7 linked regions of the Ovis aries genome follow. Each later gene encodes a partner of the first gene's protein in a complex. Links are inferred from orthologs where the notes say so. Each region holds a gene or a part of one and is shown in the gene's direction. Other genes may lie near its edges. The genes, in order: CDK2AP1, HDAC2, MTA3, CHD4, HDAC1, MTA1 and MTA2.

Region 1 (4,256 bases):
GCTTCTAGCCCTGTACTGGTCCAATAAGTAAACCATTGGCTATTGTGGCTACCAAACTGTTGAAATGTGACCAGTCCCAATCAGGATGAGCTGTAAGGGTAAAATACCCGGTGGGTTTTGAATATAGTATCAGAAAAAGAATGTAAAGTATCTTAATAATTGCTTTATATTTATTATATATTGACTTAATACGTTATATATTTAAATCATGTTAAATAAAAAAGATTAATTTCATCAGTTTTTACTTTTTGAAATGTGATTATTTAAATTGTTAAAATATATATGTGGCTTGCAATACTTTTCTATTGGACAGTGCTACTCTAGAGTATTGGTCCCCTGAGAGCAGGGTAGGAAAAGGATGATATTAATTTACCCCCGAACTAACACTTCGCTGAACATCCTTGACGGAACCAGCCTAAAGCTGATCACAAGCGATCCTGGGAAGAGGGGTGTCGCTTGTACCTTCACTTCTAAAGGAAGGAGGGAGGGAATGGGTGTATCCTTTACCTCTGGGGCAATAAGAATTCTCACTAGATCCAGATGTATCTGAAAGTCTGTAGCTAATAAAAGATATTTGCAAAGCAGGGCGATTAAAAATGGCAGAAAAGGGCGGGCATCTTGTGTCTTTTGAGAAGATTTACTATTTAAGGAGAACTCCAAGAAATAATACCTTCAAAAGCTTCATCATCTGATGTAAAATAAATTTCATGATTGCAATTCAGTCAGATTTGAGAAGTGGGCTGTGGTGGGGTAGGAAGAGGGTCAAAAATTGCAATGTAATCTCCAGGAGAGAAGAAACTTGGTCAAGTTTATTCTTGTCTTAGCGCCTAGAACAGTGCTCGCCACACAGCAGGCGCTTTTTAAATATTTGAACGAGTTAAGATGCAAAATTAGGTGGATGAGACGGTGTGTTTTTCGCGGGAGGAGGCCTTTGGCTTTTGTCCAGTGTCAAAGGAGTCTAGGCCGCCAAGGGGTTAACAACCACTTAATACCGACAGGGACGTGAAATTTATTTGAAATCAATGTCAAGAATTGGTTGATCTTATTCTGGGGAGAAGGCAGACCTCGGCGTCTGGAATGATCTACGTGCTTAAAAATACCACTCGCCACCATTTTCTCCAGGTAATTTTCCATCCCTGCCCCCACAGTCAAGGAGGGGGGGGGGCGAAAAAGTAATTCCGCAATCCTACCTAGCTTTAGAGAAAAAAAAAAAAAAAGAAAAAATGAATCGGTACAGCAACAAATCTCCAGGCATCGCCAGCGCAGCAGAAGAAGGGGACCCAGGTGGGCCTCGGGCACTGCCGGGACCCCAGCCCCCCAAACTTTGCCAAGTTGCGGGCGCCGAGTGCGCCCGGAGGCGCGGGGCGCGGCCGCGGGCGGCACCGCCCCCTGACGCCCGGCCGCGGCGCGCCGGGCCGCCCCCTCCCGGCCCCGGCCGGCCCCGCTGGCTCCGCTCAAAGTTTGCGGCCGCCCCTGCGCCCGCGCGCCCGCCCGATGTATGGGTGATATACTGCAGCGGGTGTCAGGGTGAGGGACGGCCATATTTGCCGGTGCGGCCCGAGCCGTCAACAACAAAAAGTGCGCGGGAGCTCGGCGGGCGCACGGACGGGCGCACGGACGCCAGGACCGCCTCGCCGCCGCCGGGTCTCGCCGCCGCCGCCGCCCTCGCGGGCCGGGCCCCGCTGCGCCCCGGCGCGCCCCGCCGCTCGGGGGGATGTCTTACAAACCGAACTTGACCGCGCACATGCCTGCCGCCTCCCTCAACGCCGGTGAGTGAGTGCGCCTCGCGGGCTGCGCGCGCCGCGCCCCAAGTGCAGCCAAGTTGGGGGCTCGCGCGCCCGGCCCCGGCCCCGGCTCCCGGGAGCCCGCGGCGGCCGGGGTCGGCGGGCACCGGGTCCCGGCCCGGGGCAGCGCGGCCGCCGCCGCCATGATTCCGGCGCGCGCGCTGCCAAAGTTCGCGGGTGCGACCCGCGCCGCGCCGGGCCTCGGGTCGGGCCGGGGCTGGGGCCCGGGTCGCGGGCGGCCGCCGCGGTCCCCCCCACGCCGGCGGCCCCGGCTTGTGGGGAGCGCGGCGAGCGAGGGCGGGGGAGGCTTTCTCGGCTCCTTTTTCCTCCGGCTTTTGGGCGGCTCGGCGAGGGCCCCTGCCGGCGGGAATCGGGAGCGGCCCGGTCGCGCCGGGAGCGGGGCGCCGGGAGCGGGGCGCCGGGAGCGGGGCGCGGGTCCGCCCTTGGGGACCTGAGGGGCAGGCCCGGGCGGGGGGTCCGGGAGGCAGGGGTGCACGTGAGCAAGGCCGGGCCACGCGCAGGCGGCGCTGCGGGGCGGCGAGAGCGCCAGGTTGCAGCCGCTCCCGAGGGCGCGGGGCCGCTGGGGTCACCGGCGGTGCAGGGGAGGTGGTCTGTGGACGCCCGCCCGGCCTGGCGTGGGGGAGCAGGTGCCCAAAACGGGGCGCACGGGAGGTCCCCTCAGGCGTGCGCGAAGTGAGAGAAGTTGAAGAAGACCGGGGGCTTCGGAGTTGCCTGCAGGCGGAGGGCGGGGGAGGCATTGAGCCGGGGTCCCGGCTTGGAGCCCCCAAGTCTAGGTTTAGAGGGGCCTCCTCCAGGAGCAGTGCTCTCCGTGTGCTGGGGCTGAAGCTGGGCGGTCCCAGAAAACTCCTGCATAAGTTGTCCGGAAGCTTTAGGCTGAGTCTGGGGGTCTTGCCTCAGAGACCGGGGCGGGGGCGGGGTGTGTGTGTGGCAAGGGGGCACGCGGGATGTGTGTGGCTGGTGGTAAAATTTTGTGGGGTTCGTAGGTGACTGACTGCCCCCTCTCACCGAGGTTCTCCTTTAGACTCTTGGTGGGAAACTTCCAAAAAAGCGAGGTGCATGGGGGTAGGGGTGGAGGCAGGGGCTTGGCAGGAAGGAAATGGGCCTCCCTGGTCAGAAGTGCCACGCTGGCAGTTGGCCGAAAGTTTTGGGCCTTGTCTTCTAATGTTAACTCGATAACTCCAAAATCTGAAGGGCGCCCCAGAAAAGCACTAAGTGTATGTCCATGTACGTATATACCTATACGTAGGTGTATATATGTGTGTGTGTGTTTAACTTCTTGGACAGAGATTTGGGGATTGGAAAGGGTTAAGATTCAGGGTGTGGATGGCTGTGGGGGTAGATAGTTTAGTTGGTCAAGTGTGGGCTCTGTCTGAGCCCCAAGAGCAAACGGCCCCTATTTTCAGCTGAAATGTTCTCATCTCTCGGGTCTGCACACCTTAAGAGGCAGGCTTTGTGGCCAATGTTTCTCACTGCCTCCCTCATCTGACTCTGGGGTGGGATGGGTGGAGGGTCTTGCCGCCGGCCCAGGTGGGCAGGAAGTCTCAGGTTCCCCTGGTGCAGTTGAGGCAGGGACCCTGAACCTGGCCCTTTGGGGACTGGGGTCCCAGAGGGAGCAAGCCACCCGCTTAGGCACCCTGAAGCCCTGCTCTGGGCTGGCTAGCACCTGTGCCCAGATTGTCTTCCTTCTCCTGTGGTGAACTCCAGGAGGAGCGCTGAGGTCTCCAGATCTCTGGTGTTCGGGTGAGGGGCCACCTGCCCCCTGCCCTGAGCGTGGACCCCTTTAGAAAGCCCGCATCTCCCTGAGCCATTTGCATCCAAGATGGACTCTCCACTGCCGCTCCTCCGGCTTCCTTGTCATCATCCCTCACGCCCTCCAGCCCTGCCTCCTGCTCGCGAGTTGCCAAGCCGCGGCCTGGCCGGCGGTGGCAGTGGCGGAGTTAGACAAAGCCCCCGCCTCCCCGCCAGAGAGCCCCCCCAGGCGCCCCAAGTGGCGGGAAGGCCGCCAGCTCCCCAGGCCCGGGCCGCTCTTTGTCTGGCGTGGGGGCGGGGAGCCGCGCCTGGCCCCAGGAGCTGCTGGCCTTTGCCAATCCCTCCCTCGGCTCAGGGCCCTCCCTGGTCCCCGCACACTGCGCGCATTGTCTGCGATGCTCTGAGACGACCGTGCTCACGCCCTGTCTGGTTTTCTCCTTGGCCTTGGGCAGCTGGACCGCCGGCCCTCCCTGTGTCTGCAGGAAGCTGTGGGCATGAGTGGAACTTGGGGTCCCTGCGCCAACTCTTCCCAGGGCCACAGGCACCCCCCTCTGAACACTGAGCAAAGGACTGGCTCAGAGTCGGGTCGACTACCACATCACCCAGGTGACAGGCAAATCAAGCTCTGGGCTCTTGCCTGACTTCTCCACACTGCTTCCACGCCTGCAACCCATTCCTTCTCCCTCTCTCAGGAACTAACCC
Region 2 (4,106 bases), on another chromosome or scaffold:
TTTTTTTGATAGGGATGGGAGAGAATGTGTATCTGGGGAAATGTATAAATGGTAAATGGGCTTCCCAGAGGGCTCAATGGTAAAGAATTCACCTGCCAATGTAGGAGACCGGAGTTCCAACCCCGGATCAGGAAGATTCCCCTTGAAGAGGAAATGGCAACCTGCTCCTCTCGGAGGGGGGCACAGTCCACGGGATCGCAGAGTCAGACAGGGCTGAGTGACTGAGTCTGCACTTATAAACAATAAATGGTATATGGGAATAAGAGCATCCCCCACCCCCACCCCAATCACCTACAAGGTGGGTGGCTGAAAAGGCTCCATGTTTGATGACTTATTGAACACAGGGGCAAAGGTATTTATAACGTCCAAAAGTTCTGAAAGTCCTTTCTCTGAACTTTATGCTGCCATCTTCCAGTGCCCAGCCAGCAGAAGCAGTCATAATGGAGTAGCTAGGATGTGTGGACTTTAGAGAAAGGCTGAAATCAAACCCCAGACCATCAACCTTGGAGAGGACCAAGTGCGTTATAAAGTCCATTTATAAAGAAGAACTAGAAACAATACTTAACGTCCCAGCTTACTCCCAGTTGTTGGGAGTCTCAATCGAGTTAACACATATAAATGAAATACATAATAAATTACTTAGAACCCTAACACATACATGCATGCCATAACTGCCTATTTAAAGTCAGGCAGTACTCTCTGCTCTTTAATGTCTGCAATAGGTCCCCTTAATAGGGGGGACCTCTTCCGAGGTCAAAACCTCCTCTCAGCGATTATCAGTAGAAAATGAAAAAAATAAATGAAATGCACGACGACCCAGTACAGGGGGCGTGGGTTGCAGCTCGGCGGGTTCAAGAAGGTCGAAGCGGTGGGATAGTGGTCTCTCTGCGCCCGGCTCAGAGCACGTGGTCCGCCCCGGCGGGAGCTTCGCGACAGAGGGGGAGGGGAGCAGCGTGGGACTTCGCGGAGGGGGTCCAGGCGGCCCGGGCTACGGTTGGGGAGGCGCCGACTGCGCAGGCTCAGGATAGGCACAACCACTGCGCAAAGATCCGAAGGGGGGAAGCTTGCACCCGGCTCCATGCTCCCTTTACCTACCTAATCTAAAAGCGAAAGCCTGCTCTTTAAAAAAGAAATCCTTTTACGACTGTATAGGGTAGCCGTCCTGTGCAAGTCGCTCATCATAAGAAAGCCTCTTTTCCCAAATTGAAGAAGCCTCTTGCCCCCTCCTCCCCCGTGGAGTCGCAGTGGACCCGCCCCACCTCCCCTCGGCCTCCGGAGGTAGTTTGGCGCCCCCCTCCCCCTCCCCAGTGTCGCGAGTTGGCGCCGCTGCCACCCCCTGGTCCGCGCTCTCGGCCCTTCGGCCGGGCGGTACCCAGCCCTCCCGGCTCCCCCCCTCCTCTCCTCCCTCCGGCCTGCCCTTCCCCGCGGGACTGCCACCCTCCACCTTCGCCCCAGCCTTCTCTCCCCGCCGGAGCCGCGGAGGCAGCAGTAGCAGCAGCAGCAAGAGGAGGAGCCGGAGGCGGCGGTGGCCGGGGAGCCCATGGCGTACAGTCAAGGAGGCGGCAAGAAGAAAGTCTGCTACTACTATGATGGTGAGACGCCGGGCAGGCGGGAGGGTGGGCGGCCCAGGGCTGTGGCGCCGGGCCCGGAGCCGCATCGGCTCTGCGGCCGCCGTCGCGAGTTGTCGCGCCGGGTGCTGAGGGGTCAGGAGGAGGGACCGACTTTTGGCAGCATCTTAACCCATTCCCGACCCGACGCCGTCCGGCAGCCTCCTCGGGGGGCTAAACGGACGCCCCACTTTCCCTCCGGCCCCTCTCGCTCCGGCAGTGCGGTCCGCCGCCGGCCTGCCTTGGCTTGGTGCTGGTGCGAAGGGGACGGCCCTTCCTCGCGCCTGTCCCGCCCGCCGCTCGTGGGAGGGAGGTTTTGGGGGTCCCCTGCTCCGGCCGCCTGCACCCTATTTCTTCTCGCGGGCCGAAACAGCTACCCCGGCCCAGACTGCACACAAAGCCCCACGGCCCCGAGAGCTCCGCCCCTCCAGCCCCCAACCCTCCCCTCCCCGCCTCTTCCCTCCTCTGTGTCCCCGGCTGGCTCGAGCGTCTCCTCCTTTTCTCTGCCGCCGGCCTCACCCTGGACCCCTCGACCGGGTTGGGTGCTGGAGAGTAGCCCCTGAGGGTGGGGGCCCACGTCCACCTGGAGGCTCGTTCGCACCCTTGTTTTGCGTGGGCTCCATCCCTTTCCTTTGTTTGCCGGGTTCTCTGAGCGCCACTTTCTCAGCACTTAAATGAAAGGGCTTCACTTCCTCAATAAATAATGAGGGTTTTCGAGTTTGAGGTAGTCAGTCTTCACGGGAAATGCGACGGTGGTGGGGCAGCGTGTTGTCGCTCGTGTTGTAGATCAGCCTCAATGGGTCCTGGCTTGCCTCTCTGAGAGGCGGTTACCACCCACTTCTTTGTTGCTCTTTGTTCGATCAGGAAATACACCCTGCTTTGGAGGTGTAGGACCGATAGGTTTGGCATCTGGCTTGCGAAAGCTGTTTCTAGGTGGTGGGAGTCCTGGTGTTGGAAAACTTTGAGGAGTACGGCAGAAAGTACTAAATAATCAGATAAGCTTGAGCTCATGGAACAGTAAATTATAAAAATCTAATTATTTCGTTTTAGAGGTCCTGACTTCATTTGCAATTTGAGCAGTAAGTCTTTTTGAATCCCGTTTCCTGTGCTAGTCTAAATTAAACTAAAAGAAGTTGTTACCTTTTTTATAGTTTGCACGAAGATATTAACTTGGTAAATGGTTCCTAGTTAGGTTACTCTCCAGAGAAGAAATTCTAAAATTTAACAAAGAAGCTAGGTTCAGGGACCTGAAAGTCCATCTGATTTGTGTGAAGCAATAAAAATTTTGGAAGCTGTTTCCTACATTCAATGTATCATAAATCGTAAAATCATAGACTGATGGAAAGATCTTAGAGGACTAGGTCAGAATAAATCTAGACTTTAATTTTAAAATGGCCATATCATATCTCTTCAGTTAGCAAGCATGAATCATTTTCATGCCTGTTTATATAAAATAACCACCTGTGTAATTTGTGGAACAATCTAAAATCTTACAGAAGAAATCTAAGTGTTAAATATTAACAGCCATGTTTTTAAAATATTTTTTGAGAAGACTGCATGTATATGTGATACAAATTGATTTGAAATTATGCCATCATGAAGGGGTGGAGATGGGAGGAGATTTTAATTTTAATGTAAATTGCTGAAGTTCCTTCGAGTTAATTTTTTAAGAGTTCATGCATATTTTGGGTCACTGGCCTTGACTTGGGTTCCATGACCAAATTGAAAAGTAAATAACCATGTGTGTAACTTAATTTTTAAAATTATATTGTTTCTAAGGTTTAGAGATGTGTTAGCAGGGCTTGGGGTAGAGAAGAAGGGTTTTAAAAGGTTAGGGTAACTGGTACTAAGGCTCTGCCTGCAGCTGTTAGTTGCTGTTGACAGTGATAGACTCTGATGAAATGAGCTGCTTGAAACTTCTTGTCACCAGGCTTGAACTGCAGAACCAGAAGGTACACTTAAGTAGCAGTTTTATCAACAGCTATTCTTTTCCTGGGCCCATTTACAATGAGCCTTCATTGAGGGGATGGGAGCAAGTATTGATCCCAAGAGCAGGATGCAGACTTGATAGGAAGAGTAATCTTTGTGATTTAGTCAATAGTTTATAGTGGACCATTCAGCTGCTTCATCTGATGGCCAACAGCAGGTGTATAATTGAATGTTTAGATGTCTCTGGTTAGGTTATCTGTCTTTTGTCTATGGCTCTTCCTTGACTAATTTTTAGAATGGAATATGTAATTGCTTACATTGGGAATATGCTCTGGGTTCTTTTTGTGGGGGTGGGCTAATAAAATATTTTGCACAGGTTATTAAAATGAATAGGTATCATTATGCTAATTCTTTGTAGGTGATAGTATGTTAAGCTGTGGATAGTTAATTCCAAAAGCTTAGATTTTCATCACCAGGAAAACCCTATTTTGTCAGCTTATAAGGATAGTGATAGTAGTTTTTTTTTTTTCAATTGTGAGGAAAGAGCTTGTGCATCAGAGAACTGACTCT
Region 3 (3,984 bases), on another chromosome or scaffold:
GAAGGGGCGGCCTCCGCACGGCCGGGTCGCGTCTCGTCCCGGCCCAGCGCGCCAGGCTCCTCGGCGGTGTAGAAGGTGTAGGTATCGGACATGCGGTCGTCGAGGCGGCGCTGGCAGCAGTACTCTAGGTGCGCGCCCTCCAGGCCCCAATAGATCATCTCGTTGTAGAAGGAGAGTTCGCACATCCGCGGCGCGAAGCGCAGCTTGCCGTGGCCTCGGACATAGAGAAGGATGAAGCCGAAGGCCTCCGAGTGCCGGTCGAAGAAGTACTCGTTGCGCTCGTGGTCATAGTCGTCGCACACCTCCAGCACGTCGCGCTCCGAGCGGCAGCCGTGCAGCCGGCTCACGCGCCGCAGCGGGAAGTCCTTCAGCAGCTCCCGGGACAGCGAGTACCGGGCGCCGCCCACGTTCAGCACCACCGAGGCCGCCCCGCTGCGCCCGAAGGTCATGGCTGGCTGCCCCGAAGCCCCCCAAGCCCGGGGGCGCCGCCGCCGCCCCCTCCGGCCGCCGCGCGGGGCCTGCCTGCGGATGGCGGAAGGGGGAGCGCGCCGTCGGGGCCCGCGGGCTGTCCGGCCGGCTCTCCCTCCGGGCTCCGCTGCTGCCCTTGGCTGGCCCGGGGGCCCCTGGCTCTAGCCTTCTCGGCAGCCCAGCGCAGCTGCTAGCGACGCTCCCTCCGCACGGCGGTCCCTGCAGGTGGCCGGGGAGTCCCCCTCAGGCGCCAGCGCTGCGCCCCACTGGCCGAGAAAGAGGCTGCCAGCGCCGCCGCCCCTCGCGCCTGAGGGATGCTCCCTCCGAGGCCGGGGTGCCCTTTCAAGGCGGCGGCGCTGTTCCCCCCCGCCCCGGGGGCGTGCGCGCCGAGAGGAAGCGAGGGCGCTGGATGGCTCCGGGTCCCCGGCGCTCCCTCTGGCCACGGCTCCGGCAAGCGCCCCACCGCCGTCCAGAGGCAAGAGGCAAAGTGAGCGGGTTCGGAGGCGGCAGAGAGCCGGCCCCGAGAGGCGGGGGCGGGGCCTCCTCGCGGTTACCCCTCCTTGCCTCCTGGCTCCGCTCCGCTCACCTCCCTCCGCGCGCCGCCCTCCTCTTCCCACCCGAGCCCGCACCTCGCTCGGGCTGGGATTCCCCGGCGCCCCGCCCTGGACCTCGGGCTCCCCGCCTCGTGACGCCGTCCTCCCCCTCCGCTCTCGCCTGCAGTGGCCGGGAGGGGTCCGCAGAGCAGGGATGCGCCGAGCTTGGAGCCCCGAGTGGAAGGGGCAGAAAAGCCCCGCGCCTGGGGATCTCAGTTCCCGCGTCCCTCCCCGGACCATCGGGATGACTTGGGGAGTCCCCAAGAGCCCTTTTAACGGCCCCCCAAAAGGAGGCTGCAGGAGGGTAAGGAGGAGTGAGGACTGGGGTGCAGGATTTGAGGGGCGGGGACAGACGGCTCTGGGAGAGCTTTTTCCAGAAACTCTCCGGAGCCCAGCTAGGTTTCTGAGACCGCCCCACAGAATTTCTCAAGAGAAGGCACCCCAGCAATTCTTTTCTTGCCGACTTTGTTCCTTCCTCTCCCGGCGCGGAGACCCACGTACCGCGTGCTCCGAAGGCGGCCACACATCCCAGCACCCAGCTTCCGTGCCGCCTCTCTCGGAGGGGAGCGGCTCCAGCCCCCGCTTTCTGGGGCACCGGTCCTAAGAGAGCGCCTAAGCTTAGCGCCCCTGGACCCCCTCGTGACGCTCCCTGTAGAGTGGGATGAAAGTCTGGGGAGAATTGTCTTGCCACTGGCAAGAACAGAATTTTGCCTGATCTTTGTCTGCATCCTCCTTTTCATGTCTTAATTTCTCCTGTGCACCTCCGAGCCGGCTGCAGCACCGGCCCTCGAGCTTGAAGAGCCCTTTCAGGCTCTGCGAAGGGTACTTCCCTGGGCACTGCTCGATGCCCTGGGAGTGGGCTCCACTGGGCAGGGATTATTTTAAACTGCTCCAAGCAATTCACACGACCTCCGGCACAGGCAGCCCTGCTCGCGCAGTACCCGCCAGAGGCGAAACAGGTGAGTTGTAAGGCTAACTGTTAAATGCAAAACATACGAAAAGAAAAATTAAGAGTGTGGTGGGGTGAGGTGGGATGCGGTGATCTGGCTTCAGAGTACACCAGCTGGTTACTGGGAAGGGTTTTACTTTGCCCTTCACTTTTCATAATTGTGTAGGGTTATCTAGTGCCCACTAGAGGTCACCAGAAAGAGTCGTGTTGCTCTGATTCTAGTGTGGATTCTTAGCGAAAAAGCAGACACCTAAAAATTGGAGTGCTCACAAAGTAAAATCATTTTGGGTGGTTTTTTGTGCCCTATTTTTTTAAATTGAAGCATACTTGATTTTTAATGTTCCAGGTGTACAGCGAAGTGATTCAGATATATAGAGATAAATATGTAGAGACACTATATACAATTTTCCAGTTTTTTTCCATTAAAAGTATTTTCAAGATATTGAATATAGTTCCTTGTTGGGTGATTTCTTAAAGAATGCAAATCTCTATAAATTTTTTATATCTAGACTTGATAATTTATCTTAAAAGCATTTAATGTAACTAAAAACTCAAAAATGGGAGTTGTTTACTTGCTAAGCTGCTACTAAACTAGAAAAACATCCTGAAGGAAATGTTTCAAGACAGAATCAAAAGAAGTGATGGCCATGAACTGGCAGAGAGAAAGAGCAGAGCATGTCTAATAGCAAAATCACAGGTGTGGAGGATTAAAGCCTGAAAGAAAGCTAATGCATCGGTTGGCTGAACGCATGGGGATCTCCACTACCAGAAGTCAGCTTTCATCCAGGAAGCTAATGGGATCCCTGAAGGTTTTAAGAATAGAACTGACTTGATCTCAGGAAAAGTCATTTGCCCCTTAGGTTGTTCTAAGGAGGAGGCACTTCTGCAGCCAAGAAGTGGGAACCCCACCCCTGAATCTCTGTAGACAAGAAAGGGTTCATTTCTGAGAAACCCTGAAACCAAGGACTCAGCACAGCTTGGAAATGGATTTGTTCTAGAATATGAGGATGAAGAAAAGTTTGCTGCTGCTAGTGGAGTGAAGAGCCTGGCTTCACACCAGCAAGAGCCGATTCCTCAGGGAGTCGTTAAAAATACTTTCTAGAAGCTGTACAGGCAACAGAACACAGAACAACTATTTTGTTGATTATTTGCTTCAACATTACTATATTTATTTCCTATGTTCTCTATCTAAAATCCCTTTAAAGTCTGTTGATAGGACCAGTCAAAGAAATATCATATTTTAAATTACATTTGAGCTTAGAAAACCAATTAATTTGATGACAGTATAATTTGTGTCTCCTAGGTATACTTTCATGAAATATCTTAGAGAGATAGGTTTAAATCACTTCATTTGTTTCAAGAGTAATATTCTTATTTGATTTTAATATCGTCAACTGCTACTGCAGCAACAATAACCCAAGTCATTTTCTTAAACAAAGAAAACAATAAGATGCAGAAATGATTGGCTTGTCTCAATATAATCTGGTTTAAAAAGCATTCTTAAAAACAATTTTATTCCTCTGTACTTGAAAAAATATGTTAAGATTTGATATTGTTGTTGAGAATTATTACATTTAAATTCTTCTCTGGATTCTAGATGATATTTAGGGTCTTCATATGTAAATCTTTAGACTGCATCGGGCATCAGGCAGAATTTTAGAGTTTGAAAGAGATTTTCTTGTGTCGATTTATAAGCCCATTATTTGGGGAGGAGGAACAAGGCTTCAGAGATGTGGCTATAATTTGCCCAAGGTTCCCCAACCAGCAGCATCACGGTGGAGACACAGCTGGAGCCACAGTTTCTAGTTCCAAACCCTAAACCCTCGGTCTCCAGGGCCTGCATTGCTGCCACAGCTTCCTGTCTGATCTCTGCACTCCAGTTCTTCCCTCCATCTGTGAATCCTATATCATGCCACTGAACAGCTCTTCCTTTTCTTCATTTTCATCAAGTCATTCCCCAGTTCAAGAATCAAA
Region 4 (4,090 bases), on another chromosome or scaffold:
GTGTCTGGAAATGATGGATGAGGAAAGCGAGGGTCTATCTCATACATCAAGAGGCTTTGTGCCAGGACACTGCTTTGGCTCATTAAGGGATGAAGGTGTGTACAGGTTGGGGCGGGGACAGGGTAATGTGGGTAGCCCGCTTCACCCTCTCTGGTGTGGGTGTTAGAATAGACTGACAGCCTTGGAGATGGAGGAGGTATGAGTATGAATATTATGGGATGTCTGGCTGAAAAGGTATAGGGGTAGTGTAGTGGAGGTGAAGCATTATGGGATGTGACTCTGGGTTGTGCTGGGAGTATTATGGTATGTCTGGTTGACCACGAGTTCTTTGCAATTATTATGGGCTGTCAGTGTGTGGGTGGGGGAGTGAAATGATGGGATATCTTTCCAGTGTTAGAGGAAAGGAGATTAGTTGTCCATCTGTGGGGTGACGGTATGGCTGTTGATCATTATGGGATATCTCTCTGATGGGGAGGAGTGGTTATTAAGGGCTGTGGAACTAGAATGAATGTGTGAAGTCTGGGGGTCGAGTTGTGAGGATCTAGCCTGCAGGGGCTGAGGGCAGCGCCAGGGGTTGGGTTATTATGGGATGTCAGTACTGAAAGTGGGAGACTGATTATTACGGGATGTGTGTGGGAGGAGGCCGAAGTGTCCGTTGATGGGGGGGGGGTGAGTTTCTGACTATTATGGGATATCAAACTGGGGGTGGATGAAGAGTGGTTATTATGGGATGTCTGTGGGGGATGGGGATGAGTATTATGGGATGTGAGGCTGAAGGGCTGGGACGGGTGCTTATTATGGGATGGCCATGGGAAGGGAGAGGTGACGAATTATTATGGGATGTTAGCGTTAGGGCCAAGAGTGAAGAAGTTGGCAAAGGATAGCTATTATGGGATGTCGGGGGGTGGGGATAAAGGGTTAGTTGCAAAAGGTCTGCAATATCATGAGATGTCAACAACCCTGGCATGTATGTGTATGGTGTGTGTGTGCGTGGGGTGGTAGTGGTGGTGGGGGGGTGGTGTCCGTGTGTATTATGGGATGGCCAGGAGGTGGGTGGTTGCCCGGGTGACACGCGCGCGCGCTCTCGAAGGGGGCGTGGCCAATGGTTGCCGGAGCGACGAGGGGGCGGGGGTTGCCCGGGAGACCTAAGGAGGAGGGTGGCGGTAGTGGAGGGGGGGTTGGAGTTGGTTGAGGTTATTATGGGCTGTCCTTGGGGGGGCGGGGCCTGTGCGGTGGGATTTCCCGGCCGGTGTTTCGGGCCCTTTAAGAGGCGACGCCGGAGCCGGAGCCATTTTCCCCCCTTCGGCCGCGGCGAGGAGGAGCCGGAGCGGGAGTGACACCGGGCCGGACCCAGCGCGACCTGCGGCGGCTCCGGGGTGAGGAGAGCTCAGGGTTCCTAGAGAGACGCCCCTCTCAGCCCGACCAGCCCCGAGGGTCTTTCCTTCACCCAGTTGCTCCTCGGGCGTCCCCGGACCCGCGGACCGCCCCCTGCCCCGGGAGCCGACCCTGCCTCTCCCTGCCCGGCAGTGCGCCCAGCCCCCGCCCTCGCCCGACCCGAGTCTCGCTCTCAGCGACTCCCATCTCGTACTCGGCCTCCCACAATGCCCGGCGCCCCCCTCGCCCTCAGCTCACTTGCCCCCCGGGACACGTGGCTCGGCCCCCTGCCCGGTGGGAGTGCCGGCCCCCCACGCCCCCGCCTCCAGTCCCCCGGAGCGCCGAGCCTCCACGCCCCCTCGTCCCCGCCGCTCCTCTGGAGAGCCCGAGTTGTCCCAGAGGACAGCCTTTGGAGAGCTGCCCTGTCTGGGGACTGGCCCCTCCCCAGGCGCAGGGAGGCGCCCCCCCCCACCCCCAAGTGACCTTGTGTCCCCGAGCGCCTCGCCGCCAGCCGCCTCCCCCGGCCCCCCCCCCCCCGAGTTGCGGCCACTCGGACCCCATCCCCCGTCACGCCCGGCTCCGTCCAGCGGCCTCTCCCCTCCCCACGCCGGCACCGGCCTGCTCTCGGGGGCGCCGCTCTCTCTGGGGGGCTCCAGTCGGGGAGCCAGCTTCCGGGCCGCCCCCGGGAGTGTGGAACTAAGTTCAGCCTGAGTGGTTCGGGTGCCCTGCTCGGGTGGCTGAGGGGGGGCCGGGGTGGGCGGAAAGCGCGGCGGGGTGGGGGAGGGGGCCGTGCGCGTCACTGACTGTTCTCTTTCTCTCCCCCCTCCCCCGCACAGTGACTCGGGCCAGTGTCGAGGGCCCCAGGCCGCAGGCAGGAGCAGCTGGGCCAATTCCCTGGCCGGGAGCGGAAGGGGATGGCGTCGGGCCTGGGCTCCCCGTCCCCCTGCTCCGCGGGCAGCGAGGAGGACGACATGGATGCACTTTTGAACAACAGTCTGCCCCCACCCCACCCAGGTAACACCTTCCCCCAGGGCCCCCGGGCAGGAAGGAGCCATCTGGGCCCTCCCTAGTGACTGTGGAGAGGCAGGGTTGAGTTTTTGGGCTCCCACCATGCAGCCTGAGGTAGAGGGCATCCGCAGGGAGTGGTTCCCTTCTGCGGAGCTCCGGCGCGAGGGGGGTGGAAGCCATGTGCCTCCTGGGCTCCGCGGACCGCGGTGCAAGCTTGCTGCACTGTCTTTGGGAACGCTCTGCGGATCCCGGTCGAGGGAGCTCTCGGGGCTGGTAGGCTTTGCCTGGTGTGGGTTCCCGAAGGACTGCAGGTGCCTGGGACCCCTGGAGGCTGGGCGCGGCGGCAGCGGCTGTGAGGGGGTTGAGGATTGCTCTTGGAGAAGACCGTCAGAGCATCTCTGTTAGCAGGATCTTGTGGTTGCTGCTGTGGAAAAGAAAGAGGGAGTGCGGGTTACTCTCTGATTTATTTTTAGCTTCTGATCAGTTACCGGCTTTCTGTGCAGTTTCAACTGTGTGAAGTTTGAATTGCGCTCCTCAGTTGGGATCTAGAGCGCTTTTAGTCAGGCAGATTGCTGGAATGTTAAGAGTGGGGCTGGGGTAGAATGTCATAGCCTGCAGGATACATTGGGAGGGGCAGAAAGAAGGGAGGTGATACCCTGGGCACCCCTCTTTCTCTGGCAAGTCGGTTTAATCCTGGCTGTTTTCCCAGAAGGCTCTGCCCTGCTCAGGTAGCCTAGGGTTTGGGCTGGTGGTGTGAAGTGTTTGTGTAGGTGTGTTGGGGGTTGTGCTGTCTGTGATTTGGGGTGGCTCCTTGGACTGGCCAAACCCGAATTGTTTTAACCACCCTGCCTGGTTGGAATGACTCTTGTCTATTCTCAGATGATGATTGTTGTTATGTTTCTAAAGTGGATCTCTGTTTTCTCTGTCTTTTCTTCAGAGCATCTAGCTAAGTCACCTATTTGTTTTCTTCATCTTTTTGTTTACGTGCTATTTCTTCATTTTCTTTGTATATATTAAGTTGGGATCCTGCTGGCTCTGTTTTTGTTTCCCAGCAAACATCTTTCCCTTTTGCCTTCTCTCTCCTTAGCTCCAGCTGCAAGTTGAGGTGGTCTGGGAAAGATGGTTCCACATTTGGCGCTTTCTTAGTTGGAAGTCTCCCCTTCCACTCAGGTACACTTAGGAGAGAGGGTCAGTGTTCTTGTTGAGTCTTCAGCTGCTGGGATCAGAAACTGAGGCTTGAATCCTGTCACCGTGGAGGGCACAGTGGCAGATTTCTGTGCTATGGCCCAGGATGTGGGGGAGGGTGATAGTGCTGAGAGGATCCTATCCTTTCTGTGGGGGGCATGAGAAGCAGCAGTGTCGTCCCGCCAGTGCTGGCTCCACATCTGGGTTTCCCATTGGCCCCTCGGGCTGGGGCTGCCCCTGTGTTGACTGGGAACTGTGTGGGCTCCCAGGGTGAACTCTGCCCCAAGCTGTAGTGTGACCCAGTTTTTCCACTTGCCACACCCCATTCCTGCCCCTCTCCCAAATCTTCCTCTATATCAGCCAGTTTGCCTCTTGGCAGGTCAGCACATCTGCCTGAGAAGTTGGAGGGTCTTCTGTGGATGGAAGGGGGTCCCCTTTGCCTATGTGAATTGTCCCAGTCTCCACTTCCAGCTTTGATGGTGACTCTTAGAGATGTAGTTGACTGGGGACAGGGACAGTACAG
Region 5 (4,180 bases), on another chromosome or scaffold:
AAGAGGCATAAAAATGTATCTTATTGACTGTAGAACCATAAGTAACTTACTTGGCACACAGTAAGCACTCACCAAATATTAATATTGTTGTAGTTGCCTCTTTAATAGCCCACCACAGTGCTTTTCAGCCTTTAGCTTTCAATAATGATTGACTGATTGATCTAGTGCAGTGGTTCTCAAGGATTGGGTTGGGGGCACTTTTATACTTCCTCCAATCCTCTCCTCCTTGCCCTGGAGACATTTTGCCATGTCTAAGTACAATTTTTGTTGTCACAGCTGCAGAGGGCTGGGGGAGTGCTACTGGCATCTAAGAGTAGTGGACAAAGTGAAAATGTTAGTCACTCAGTCGTGTCCCACTCTTTGGGACCCCATGGACTGTAGCCCGCCAGGCTCCTCTGTCCATGGAATTCTCCAGTATCCTTATACCGGAGTGGGTAGCCATTCCTTTCTCCAGGGAATCTTCTCCACTCAGGGACTGAACCTGTGTCTCCAGCATTGTAGGCAGATTCTTTACTGTCTGAGCCACTAGGGAAGCCCACAGTGCACAGGATGGCCCCCCACAACATATTTGTGTATTATCCAAAATGTTAACAGCTTCAGTATCTTTAGAAACTCTGCTCTGGTGTAAGCAACAGTTTCCTCCCATCTAAAGGCACTCCTTAGGCCGCCTAGGAATTGCATCAGGAGTAAGAAAGGACTGCATTTGAAAAGAAAGACCGCATTTGGAATAAGAAAGGCTGGGTTCTGCCACTTTGATATGTGCTTCTGGAGTCGAGTAAGCGTTTTAAAAAATCTGTGGTTGAAAACTGAACGTGATTATTGTGTGACTCCCAGGAAGTCACAAAGTTCTCAACTTCGTTATCCTTGTCTGTAAAATGCGGATGAAAGGCCCCACTCCAAAGCCGCCAATAGGAACAACAGAGATGACCGAGATAATGTCGGTAAAGCTATGGCACAGTCCTTCGTCTACAGCAGTTTCCTGTCGTTTGTCAATTTATATTTCTCCCCCTCCAAACTTAACTGAGTGACCTTGCGCAAGTCACTTTCCATCGTAGGCCTCTGTCAAATGAAAGTTGGCCTCTGATCGCCAAGCAGTCTCCCAAAACGGAATGGGACACCCAAGTTAGCAGACCCACTTTCTTCCCCCGGGACGAATGGTACGATCCCGGGGCAGCCCCACCCCCCCCTGTCGCGGACCTTGGTACAGGCCCAGGGGGCCCTCCGAGGCCTCGCCGGGCTGCCCTTGCCCCCCGCCGAGTTCCGGGCCGTCCCAGCGCCGCTGATTGGCTGGAGTCGTGCCCGGGCTGCGCGGCTATAGGTGAGCCCGGGCGGGGATGGGCGGAGCACGCTGGAGGCCCGCCCCCTCCCCGCGGGTCGGACGCTGAGCGGAGCCACCGGCGGGAGGGCGGACGGACCGATTGACGGGAGGGACGGGAGGCGAGCAAGATGGCGCAGACTCAGGGCACCAAGAGGAAAGTCTGTTACTATTACGACGGTGAGCACAGTCCTCGCGCCGGGGGCGGGGCCGGGCCCGAGCCGGGCGGGATCCGGGAGAGGGAGCCGAGGAGGTCTGAGGGGGGAGGCTGAGGCGTTTGGGAAAGGCTGAGGGAGGAGGCTGAGAGAAGGAGGCTGAGGCTGAGAGAAGGAGGTCGAGGCTGAGGGCAGAGGCTTGAAAAGGTTGGGGTTGAGGGAGGAGGCTAAGAGGAAAGGAGGTGGAGCTTGAGGGAGAAGGCTGAGGGGAAGGGGGTCGAGGCTTAGAGGGGAGGCGGGGGCGGGGGGGGGGTCCGAGGTCAGGAGGGTCGCCTGGGGAAGCGTGAGGTCACCTTGGTGGGGAATTCTGAAGTCTGATGTGGAGTTTGCGGCGGCCTCCTAGAGAGGAGGCTGAGTCCGAGGCAGGAGGCAGAATCTGGTGAAGAAGATTGCCGGGTGACATGTTCTGCTGAGAATCCTAAGATCTCTCACTGCCCCTTTCCTTCCTCATCTCTTCTGGTGAGAGGCCTGCAGGACTCAGCACCTAGAGGTCACCAGCTCCCCTCCCCCTGTCTCCCAGCGGGCCCTGCGGTTGCTGCTGGGAAATGGGACTCCTGGGGTTGGAAGAAGAAGGATGCAACTTGTTAAAACAAACTTTTTCGTTGAACAGAAATCTGTGGAGCAGCAGCTTCTTCTGTTCTAGGTATCGTTTAGGGGCTGAGGCCAGGGGATGATCTTGCCACCTTCCTTTCACTCAGTCTGGAGGAGCATATAGACCATGACAGAAAATTTGCTCTACACTATCAGGTTGGGAGGAAGGACAGCTCAGAGTTTGCTGGGAGCACAGCGAAGTATCTGCCCAGCCTGAGAAGTCAGGCAAGGAGGTGCCATCTCAGTTAGGACCTGAAAAGCAGGAGTTACTAACTAGGCCCAGGAAGGATAAAAATAACAACAAGTTGAGAGGTAAGAGAGAGGCGAGCACCTTTGAAAAATGGCTGGATGTACAGTATGTTGGAGACATAAATTTGAAGGCACAGTGTTAGAAGGTGTAGAGCAGGGGTGAGAAAAGGGTTGCAAGTGATGAGGCTAGAGAAGTAAATGGGGACCAGATCACGAAAGGCTGGGCACACCACCCTAAGAAAGTTGGATTATATTCACAAGTTGGGCATTGGTGAATCACTGAAGTATTCAGGTTAGTGACATCATCAGATTTATTGTACCTTAGAACTATCACTCTGGGACAGAAGTTAAACGCATGAATGGAGAAGTAAGGAAAAAGGCAAGGATACCCAAGTATCTAGTTTGGGCAGTTTCATGCTGAATGTAGAAGGCCATTCCAGTTGATAATGTTGGGTTTTGTTTTTTAAAGAAACATTTGTTGAGATGTCTGGGGGATATCCCAAGTAGAGGTGTCCAGTAGGCAGTGGCCATTCAGGTCTGCAGTTTAGAAGACAAATGAGAAAATAGAAAATTTTGATGATTGTCAGCATATATACATACAGCTGATAATTTTAGTTACAGAAGAGGATGCAGTTACCCTTGTATCCCATATAAGAAGTTGTATAGGGTGAAAAGAGAAGAGGGTCCAGGGTGGGATTCTAAGGAGGTGGACTGAGAAAAAGTCGAGTGTTCTTCATGCTCTGTACTCCCTGGTGTGTAGAGTACATTTGTGCATTAGTCACTGTGTATTGGAATTGCCCATTTACTTATTCATACTTCTTACAGACAGTGAACTCCTTAGGGAAAAGGATCATGTTTTGTCTACCTTTGTATACTCAGGCCCCCAAAACAGTGCCTAGCTCGTAGTAGATTCTCAAAAAATACTGTTCATAAAGTGAATAAAGATACAGAGGGAATGACTTGAGATGTAAGTGAACCAGAAAGTGTTGGGTTACAGTAGCCGAAAGAGGGAGGGAGTGGCCAAGTGTCGGCAAGAACTGTTTCCTGTGCAGCATTTAGAACTGAAGTTAAATTGCTGTAGACTGAAGGGTTGAGTGAAGAGGAGGCATTAGATTGAACTTTTTTAAAAATCATACCACTCTGTGTGTAGGGTCTTTGTTCCCAAACCAGGGATTGAACCTGTGCCCCCTGCAGTGGAAGCACGGAGTCTTAACCACTGGACCACCAACGAAGTCCCTTTAAAAGGAAGCTTGTTGAGACAGAGAGAGGCTTGTTAATAAAGAAGAGATGTAGTGGCTGAGAGTTAAGTATGTGCAAATTTTTATGGAAATTAGGGAGAGGTTGAAGATACTGGGGAGAGGGGCTAGTAACGATGGAGGTCCCTGAGGAGAGATCAGGTCAGATGGAAACCAGAGCACACGTAGGGACACCCCTCTTTCAAGAGGCAGTTCCTTTGGGATGAGAGGTTAAGTGGCAAGAAAAAACATGTTTGAAGGAGAGAAGATGGAAAGCGGAGGGGGCTTTTAGGATGAAGTAAGAAAATATTCCTTTTCGTGAGAGTTGGGGAGGGCAGTTGGGTAGAATAGGCATCTTGAAGAGAGATAGCTGTTATGAAAGAGGGAGCAGGTAAAAACATTTGAAGCCTTGCTGGGCAGTGGTGAGGGCCCATTTGAAGCTGGAGTCTGTGACTTCATAGCTTTATCAGTTTGCACAGTTTTGTGATCTCCACATTCTCAGTTTAAAAAGAGAAAAAGTGGAAAGACCTCCATCTTTAGAGAAGGGTGATCTCTTCCTTTCTGAGAAACTACTT
Region 6 (3,500 bases), on another chromosome or scaffold:
CGCACTCTGCCGGGAGGAGCCCTGATGGGGAGCAAGGGGAGCGCGGTGCCCGGGCCCGGGGTGGTGTGGGCGGGCGGCAGCTGTGGAATGCTCTTTGCCGTCACTGGTTCTGCTTAAGAATCCGTCTATTTTCAACTTTGTTGTCCGTAGCCACCCAGTCTTACCAGTGGTATTCTTGGGGTCCCCCTAACATGCAGTGTCGCCTCTGCGCATCTTGTTGGACATATTGGAAGAAATATGGTGGCTTGAAAATGCCAACCCGGTTAGATGGAGAGAGGCCGGGACCCAACCGCAGTAACATGGTAAGCCCCGCCCCGCGCCCCGCCCCGCCCGCCCGCGCGCCCGCCCCTGCGGCCCGGCCCGCGGTCATGGCGCTGTGTCGGGGCGGCGCGCCCCCTTCCGCAGAGCCCCCACGGCATCCCGGCGCGGAGCAGCGGGAGCCCCAAGTTCGCGATGAAGACGCGACAGGCTTTCTACCTGCACACCACCAAGCTCACGCGCATCGCCCGGCGCCTGTGCCGCGAGATCCTGCGCCCCTGGCGCGCCGCCCGCCACCCCTACACGCCCATCAACGGCGCGGCCATCAAGGCCGAGTGTGAGTGTGCCCGGGGCGGGCGGGGTGGGGTGCTGCCGGCGGGCGCGCGCACTGACCCTGGCGCCCTCCCGCAGGCACGGCTCGGCTGCCGGAAGCCTCCCAGAGCCCGCTGGTGCTGAAGCAGGCCACGCGGAAGCCCTTGGAGGCCGTGCTGCGGTTCCTCGGTGAGCCCGCCCGCAGGGTCCTGTGAGGATTCGGAGTGGTCTTCCCCATGCTGTGCCCTCCTGGGTGGGCTCTGGCCTGGGTGGGAGGCGTGCCCCCCAGGAGGGACGCAGAGGGGCGGCCTGGGGCCTCGAGCATCCCGCTTGTCCGTGGCCCTCCGCTCTGCTGCGCTGGGCTAGGATTCGGTCCCTCCCCCTGTGCCCAAGTTCCCTTGGGAAAGACGCTCGGAGCTGGCGGGCCCCCGGGAGACACAGGCGGCTGTGGCCCCTCCTGCTATCTGGGCTCTGGCCTCTGAGAGCCGCTGAGGGCTGGGGCACTTGGTAGGTGTAGGCCTGCGCCTCCTGGAGCCGGTCTGGTGACCTGTCCATGGTCAGCTGATGGAGACCCTAGTTTATCATCTGGCCAGTGGCCAGCCTGGGCTGTCAGCTTTGTGGCCGCTAAGGGGACCTGCTCATTTGTGGGGATCTGGAGCCTGTGTGCTGGTTGGTGGTCGCCGGTGGGCCCGTCGGCTGGACCAAGGGGTCTAGCCCCAGCCTCTGTCGCTGCCCTCAGGGTGCCCAGGGCGCCACACTGGCGTGCCTACCGGGCCTGGGCTGCCCACACACTCCCGGGTGGTGGGGCTGCCGCTGAGGAGCAGCCTGTGCCCACTTGCCTGTGTTGGCCCTGCAGAGACGCACCCCCGCCCCCCCAAGCCCGACCCAGTGAAGAGTGTGTCTGGTGTGCTCAGCGGCCTGACCCCTGCCAAGTCGGCCCCTGTCATCAACAACGGCTCCCCCACCATCCTGGGCAAGAGGAGCTACGAGCAGCACAACGGGGTCGACGGTGAGTCCGGGGGGTCTCGGGCTCGGCCGGCGTGGCTGTGGGCCTGGGGTGCCCGGCGCCCGCCGCGCCCGCGCCTGCTGACCGTGTGTTCTCTCCTCTCTCCTGCCGCCGGGCGCTGCCAGGCAACGTGAAGAAGCGCCTCTTGATGCCCAGTAGGGGTAAGGCCCGGCCCTCCGCACCTGCCTGTGTGCTGTGCTCACGTGTGTGTGGCGGATGGCTCAGGGCAGTCCACGCGGGCTGGGCCGCGCCCCTAACCCGGCGCCCACCTGTCACTCGGCAGAGACCTTGGGGCTGCCCCTGCCCCCACCCGGGCGCCCCAGCTCGCGAAATGCCCTTCCGTCCGGGCCCAGCGCCGGTCAGTGGACTGTCCTCTGTCGGGCGGCCGTGGCGCCCCTGCCGCCCGCCCGCATGCCGTCAGCCTCAGCTCACGTGGCCGCCCGCCCTGTGCTTGTGACCTTGCCTGCGCCTTGCCTGGTGGGGGGCTGTGGGACCCTAGCCCCTCGGGCGCCGACGGGACAGAGCTGTGGTGTGGCTGGCATGGCTGGGTGGGGGTCTGTGAGGCCCAGGGAAGGCCCAGGCCGGGGCCCCACGGGGAGGTGCACCCGGGGCTGAGACTGTGGGCCCTGTCCCAAGTGGGGGGCTCGTGCCGGGGCGTGAGGCCACCACAGGGCTCCCCTGCTGTTGGGCGCAGCTGGCACTGGCTTCCGGAGTGTGGCTCCCTCGCCCACCCAGTGGTCCCGGGCTGCTCTAGTAGGGGTCACCACGGTGCCAGCGAGGAGCGTTTCAGCCTTGTGGGGGCCAGTGCCCCCGACAGTCAGCCTGTGGCAGGACCAGTGAGGGGGAGGTGAACGGAACCAACAGAAGGGGAACTTAGGGGGATGCACTCAGAGCTCCTCCCGCCAGCCCCTCCCAGCAGCAAGGTCCGGCCTGGCGTGGACACCCCCACGCTGCATCATGGGCAGCCAGCATGGACGTGGCCGGAGCCTTCCCCCAGTCTCAGGACTGGAGACCTGCCGGCCCAGGAGGCTGGCCCAGGCTTGGTTCTTGGATCTCTGGGAGGTGGTGGGAGGCAGTGGCTATCTGGCCCAGCCTGGTCCCCTGGACATGCCCATCTCAGTGTGTCCAGGAGCCCGGCAGGCACCTGCTGAGGGTCAGCTGGTGGCACTGAGGTCGGGTCCTCTCACTCCATCCAGACACAGGCTCTTCCCGCCCCAGGCCCCCTGCTGCCTTGCCCACGACCCCTTGGGGAGCCAGCTCACTTGAGCCTTGCCCCCTTGCTGACCTCCCCCTTCCCCTGGAGCCATCCTTGGGTGTTCTCACAGTCCCTGGTCTCAACAGAGTGGCTGGTCCACTCGGCTGCCCACATCCCACAGGAGGGGAAGCGGGTCTTATCAACAGGGCTTGGGGCTTAGGGCTTGACTTGTAAAGAGCTCTTGATAGCAGTGGGATAAACTCTATTCACTTCCGTCAGTTTTTCCAAAATCCACGTGTTCCCGTAGCTACTTCAGCGCCAGCCCTGGATCCCGGGCGGGCGTCAGGGGCTGCACTCAGGCTCACTGGGGTGCTGTGTGGCGGCCGGAGCAGCGGCAGATGTCAGGACCGGCTCTAGGCCAGGGCCCTGACCCCAGGGGGCCTTAACTCCCTAAGCTGGCCCTCTGTGGCCTGTGGCTGCCTCCGCCCCAGGGCCCCGTGTGTACGTCCCCCACGCTAACTGTGTGCTTTCTTCTCTCTGCCACCCGTCCCTCTGGTAGGCACCTACCTGGGTAAGTAGCACACAGCCCTGAGCGCTGTGTGTAGCTGTGCACACCCGTGGACAGCTCGTGAGCGCTGCAGGCTGGCTGCCGGGGCCCCTGCCCCTGCCTGCTGGGGTTGCGGCTACCCCAAGTTAGGAGGTGCTGCAAATGGGGGCTGGACAGCTATT
Region 7 (3,941 bases), on another chromosome or scaffold:
CCGGGCTGCCTGAGCTAGGGGGGAAATGGTGCAGCTCTGGACCGCGGGTGGGGGCGGGGAGGTCGGGCTGAGGCCGGCTGCTGTGACAGGCGTGTGGCCAGATGGCTCGGATGGAACTGACATCAACTCCCTGTGCCGCTCCCACAACGAGCGCGTCGTGGCCGTTGCCGACGACTTCTGCAAAGTGCACCTCTTCCAGTACCCGTGCGCGCACGCCAAGGTGAGGCCTCCCGGGGCCTCCGGGGTGGGGCGGGCGGCCGGAGCTCCTCGGCCGCTGCAGCTCCATCTTCTCTCCTGCCCAGGCGCCGAGCCTCGTGTACGGTGGTCACGGCAGCCACGTGACCAGCGTCCGGTTCACGCACGACGACTCGCACCTCATCTCGCTGGGCGGCAAGGACGCCAGCATCTTCCAGTGGCGAGTGTTGGGCGCTGGGGGCACGGGGCCGGTGCCCACCACGCCCTCTCGAACCCCCTCCCTGTCCCCTGCCTCCTCTCTTGACGTCTGACCCCTGCCGGACTGGACCCACCGGCCCTGCAGTGTGGCCCTGCCCCCACCCACCCAAATTCCCCAGGACCGAGGTGACCCTGTCCTCGACTTCGAGACATTCCCAAAAGTGCATTTCCTTGGAGGGGGCGAACGGCACCCCTGCACACACTGTATAGACCCGCTGGCTGAGCCGGGCAGCCCCAGCCTGGGCCCTGACTCCCGCTGCCTGCTGAGGGGCAATAAACCAAAAGCAAAGTCGCCTCCCGGTCCTTTTGTGGGGCGCGGCTGGGCGCCTCGGGGCTTTATGGGGGCGGGGAGGAAGGCAAAGGGGAATGCGGAAAAGGTGAGGGAGGGTGGACTTTTTATGCAAATAACAGGCGAAGCCTCTTGCAAATAACTGCGAGGCTCAAAGGCCCTTCGAGTTTTTCGCGGCCGCTGGTGGAGCTGCAAGACTCCGGCTAGCAGAGAGTTAAGCCCAACTCCTCTCCCCGCCCTCGGAGGCGGGGCCGAGCCGCAACGGAAATAGCCGAGTGCCGGGCCGCGGTTGGCCGGAGGGAGCCGAACTTCTTCCGGAAGTAGCCGAGCTTTGCGGGCTTGCTCTCCGACCGGAGCCGAGTGCTGGGCCTTGTTCTCCGGATCCGCCGAAGGTGTTCCGGAAGGAGGCGAACCCCGAGGCGGGCCGGCAAGTCTTCGCGGCGGCCCTCAGAGTCCAACGTCTGGTGGGACTCGGCGAGGGCGGAGGTAGTTGCAGCCTGCCTCCGGTCCGGCGGGATCCGAGCTCGTTCCGGAAGAAGCCGAGCGGACCGGCGCCGGTCTCGGCGTCCCGGGCGTGAGGCTATAGAGGCGGCGGCGACAGCGCGGGCCGGGATGAGCCGCGACGGCTGAGGCTGCGGAGGCGCCGGCTGCGCGGGCCCGACTGAGACTTCTGCGAAGCGCCGGCCCCGCGCTCAGGGCTTCGCTTCGAGTCCTGCCCTCGGGAGCCTTCCGGACCCCTTTGTGCGGCCGGAGGCGGCGGCGGCGGCGGCGGGAACGGCCATGGCGGCCAACATGTACCGAGTGGGGGGTGAGTACCGGGTGTTAGGGGCTTCGGGACTCGGGGCGGGAGAGGCTCGGCTCCCAGCGGCGCGGGGACCCGCGTCTGGGGCGGCGTGGTCCAGAGCGCGGACCGGAACCGGAACCGGGAGCATGGGGAGCGAGGGCGCGGGGATCGCGACGCGCCCGGGCTCCGAGACTCCCGGGGAGGCTGCGGGCGGCCCGACGGCACTCTCAGGGCAGCGTCTGGGCCGCCGGGGTCGTGGAGTGGGCTTGCGAAAGTGGTTCCAAAGGGGCTGACAGGGCAGGCAGGGGGCGCGAAGGGCCGGCGCAACTGCTTGGCCACCAACGGGGGAGCGGCCGGGAGGTTTCCTTTTCCCAGGCGTTATTGTGCGCCTCGGTTCACAAAGGTGGGGGCCCTGTACAGGGATGAGCAATTGCTCTCCTGAACGAGACCGGGATGCAACTCCATCGCTGAGTTGTGGGGACTGCTGAGCAGGGGAACCCCCTGCTTCTCTTGTCTCCTCCTTAAGGCTCACTTTTGAGCGGAGGATCTGATTTAATAACTGGGTGATTAGGGGGTGGAACGTCCGTCCATTATTTTCTGCTAGTCTGTACACTTCCACATTTCTGCGTCCTCTCTACCTAGACCCTTATCTCCTTTTGGTCTACTCAGGCCTCCTTTCGCTCCTCCCACTCTGGTGCTGGACTCTCCCATCTACTCCTCTGATCTTCCCGGTTCTTCCCCCACCCCCTCCTACAGATTACGTCTATTTTGAGAACTCCTCCAGCAATCCTTACCTGGTTAGAAGGATTGAAGAGCTCAACAAGGTGAGTAGAGCAGAGGCCCGCCACTCCCCCCCTACCCAGCAACCTCCGTCTTCTTTTTTCAGAGATCTGTAACTTCAGGTGAATGAGAGACAAGCGATAACAGAAACCCTGTCCTAAGTACCCATGCATATTCATTCATTCATTTCTTCCACGCTTTCAGGAAAGGCTATTAAGAGTTTAGTGGGAACTTTACTGTTCTGTTTTTTGGGGGGCTGAGGAAAGGGATTTGGAAGTCTGTCCTTAAATGTGAATCTCTTGATTCATAATTTGAGTTTTTCTTACATCCTTTAGAAACTTGTTCACTGATGTTAGTCTCTTCTTTATGCATTTCCACTTTCAAATGATTAGTTTTCACCACCGTTTTTTCTCTCCTTAGACTGCAAATGGAAACGTGGAGGCAAAGGTTGTGTGCCTTTTCCGGCGAAGGGACATTTCGAGTAGCCTCAACAGCCTGGCTGATAGTAATGCCAGTGAGTGTCTTTGTCCCCACCCCCGGTTTCCCTGTCTCCCCCTGCCCATGATCTGAAGCCTGGGCATGTCCCTGCAGGTGTTCTCTTGTAGCATGCCCAAGGCAGGGGTGTGAGTTTGGGGGTGGGAAGTGCCTGGTCTGCAGAGGGAGGCCTGTTTTTACATGTTGGGTTAGAAGCAAGGTGGAGAGGCCATGATAAGGAAAGCCAGAATTTGGCTTGTGTGTGAGTGTGTATTTTTGAATCTGCCTTTGTGAATGGTGTATGTTAAAGAGATGATAGTATGTAAATCGGGGATGAGGAAGCACTTTAGAGAAGCAGATCTCTAGGGGGACAGTTTCGGTTGTGTTGGGATGATAGGTGGTGACTGCGAAGGTCAGGTGAAGAGAAGAGACTGGACTGAGAAGCCTGCATAATAGGAAGGCAGGTTTTTGGTGTGATCATGAGGTGGTAAGACTACACTGATGGGAGAAAATAGGAAGCCAGGAACATTTTCTTGCGCTTTTTCTCTATTCTCACATAGCCTAGGACTCACCTAGCCCTGGACTCCATTTTACATCTTTCCCTTTTCTTTTCAGCCTATCCTGCTTCTCTTGATGCTTTCATCTTTTTAGATACACAGCTTTCTGTTTTCTTATAGTTTCTTTTTCCTTTCCTGCTTTGGCTTTCTTTCCCCTTTCTCTTGTTCTTCCTTTCTAAATTATTTTCCTTATTTTGGGCTTCTTTGAGCATTGGGCGTGAAGGGGTTAAGGAGGACCTGGGCCGACCAAGTTCTCTGGCTCTCTGGGGTTTCCAACCCTGTCTGGCAGGGGCTGACCTTGGTCTTGTCCAATCGGAAAGGCTGTGGGGGGTGTGGTCCCCCTTGCCTTAGCACAGGGTTTCCGGAGCACACAGGCAAGGGGTGGAGCCTACTGCACACCCCTGCCCCCCCCTTCTCCTTGAGGTTGGGAACAATGCACCAATGAGCCTGGGCCTGTGGCTCTTCTGCCCCCTCCCTGTTTGGTTGGCACCCAACCAAGTTAACCCTTTCCACTAAGGTTTCAGGGCAAGTTGCAGCTCCTTGGGGAATAAGGTGTTGGCACTGGCTTGAGAGGTACTGTCCTTGAGAGCCCCCAAAACAAACT

What was found.
Region 2: CDK2AP1 (region 1) and HDAC2 share a complex: the UniProt entries of both Homo sapiens proteins name them as parts of the nucleosome remodeling and deacetylase (NuRD) repressor complex. The link is inferred for Ovis aries from reciprocal best matches to the Homo sapiens genes CDK2AP1 and HDAC2.
Region 3: CDK2AP1 (region 1) and MTA3 share a complex: the UniProt entries of both Homo sapiens proteins name them as parts of the nucleosome remodeling and deacetylase (NuRD) repressor complex. The link is inferred for Ovis aries from reciprocal best matches to the Homo sapiens genes CDK2AP1 and MTA3.
Region 4: CDK2AP1 (region 1) and CHD4 share a complex: the UniProt entries of both Homo sapiens proteins name them as parts of the nucleosome remodeling and deacetylase (NuRD) repressor complex. The link is inferred for Ovis aries from reciprocal best matches to the Homo sapiens genes CDK2AP1 and CHD4.
Region 5: CDK2AP1 (region 1) and HDAC1 share a complex: the UniProt entries of both Homo sapiens proteins name them as parts of the nucleosome remodeling and deacetylase (NuRD) repressor complex. The link is inferred for Ovis aries from reciprocal best matches to the Homo sapiens genes CDK2AP1 and HDAC1.
Region 6: CDK2AP1 (region 1) and MTA1 share a complex: the UniProt entries of both Homo sapiens proteins name them as parts of the nucleosome remodeling and deacetylase (NuRD) repressor complex. The link is inferred for Ovis aries from reciprocal best matches to the Homo sapiens genes CDK2AP1 and MTA1.
Region 7: CDK2AP1 (region 1) and MTA2 share a complex: the UniProt entries of both Homo sapiens proteins name them as parts of the nucleosome remodeling and deacetylase (NuRD) repressor complex. The link is inferred for Ovis aries from reciprocal best matches to the Homo sapiens genes CDK2AP1 and MTA2.

What each region holds. Positions count from the first base shown.
Region 1 is NC_056070.1:52,346,530-52,350,785, forward strand, and holds the start of CDK2AP1 (cyclin-dependent kinase 2-associated protein 1), read left to right. Parts: upstream 1-1,456; 5' UTR 1,457-1,714; coding exon 1,715-1,769; intron 1,770-4,256. UniProt on the Homo sapiens protein: Inhibitor of cyclin-dependent kinase CDK2. Also acts as a component of the histone deacetylase NuRD complex which participates in the remodeling of chromatin.
Region 2 is NC_056061.1:23,732,599-23,736,704, forward strand, and holds the start of HDAC2 (histone deacetylase 2), read left to right. Parts: upstream 1-1,306; 5' UTR 1,307-1,540; coding exon 1,541-1,592; intron 1,593-4,106. UniProt on the Homo sapiens protein: Histone deacetylase that catalyzes the deacetylation of lysine residues on the N-terminal part of the core histones (H2A, H2B, H3 and H4).
Region 3 is NC_056056.1:81,607,382-81,611,365, reverse strand, and holds the start of MTA3 (metastasis-associated protein MTA3), read left to right. Parts: upstream 1-1,184; 5' UTR 1,185-1,905; coding exon 1,906-2,020; intron 2,021-3,984. Other genes in the region: KCNG3 (potassium voltage-gated channel subfamily G member 3), read right to left, coding at 1-449. UniProt on the Homo sapiens protein: Acts as a component of the histone deacetylase NuRD complex which participates in the remodeling of chromatin.
Region 4 is NC_056056.1:209,650,458-209,654,547, forward strand, and holds the start of CHD4 (chromodomain-helicase-DNA-binding protein 4), read left to right. Parts: upstream 1-1,290; 5' UTR 1,291-1,376; intron 1,377-2,210; 5' UTR 2,211-2,288; coding exon 2,289-2,388; intron 2,389-4,090. UniProt on the Homo sapiens protein: ATP-dependent chromatin-remodeling factor that binds and distorts nucleosomal DNA. Acts as a component of the histone deacetylase NuRD complex which participates in the remodeling of chromatin.
Region 5 is NC_056055.1:235,260,698-235,264,877, reverse strand, and holds the start of HDAC1 (histone deacetylase 1), read left to right. Parts: upstream 1-1,380; 5' UTR 1,381-1,446; coding exon 1,447-1,495; intron 1,496-4,180. UniProt on the Homo sapiens protein: Histone deacetylase that catalyzes the deacetylation of lysine residues on the N-terminal part of the core histones (H2A, H2B, H3 and H4).
Region 6 is NC_056071.1:67,472,616-67,476,115, forward strand, and holds part of MTA1 (metastasis-associated protein MTA1), read left to right. Parts: intron 1-150; coding exon 151-302; intron 303-405; coding exon 406-595; intron 596-669; coding exon 670-759; intron 760-1,426; coding exon 1,427-1,579; intron 1,580-1,701; coding exon 1,702-1,737; intron 1,738-1,859; coding exon of another isoform or gene 1,860-2,191; exon of another isoform or gene 2,192-3,500. UniProt on the Homo sapiens protein: Transcriptional coregulator which can act as both a transcriptional corepressor and coactivator. Acts as a component of the histone deacetylase NuRD complex which participates in the remodeling of chromatin.
Region 7 is NC_056074.1:37,480,782-37,484,722, reverse strand, and holds the start of MTA2 (metastasis-associated protein MTA2), read left to right. Parts: upstream 1-1,141; 5' UTR 1,142-1,522; coding exon 1,523-1,550; intron 1,551-1,654; exon of another isoform or gene 1,655-1,929; intron 1,930-2,282; coding exon 2,283-2,350; intron 2,351-2,726; coding exon 2,727-2,820; intron 2,821-3,941. Other genes in the region: EML3 (echinoderm microtubule-associated protein-like 3), read left to right, coding at 90-220, 303-506. UniProt on the Homo sapiens protein: May function as a transcriptional coregulator. Acts as a component of the histone deacetylase NuRD complex which participates in the remodeling of chromatin.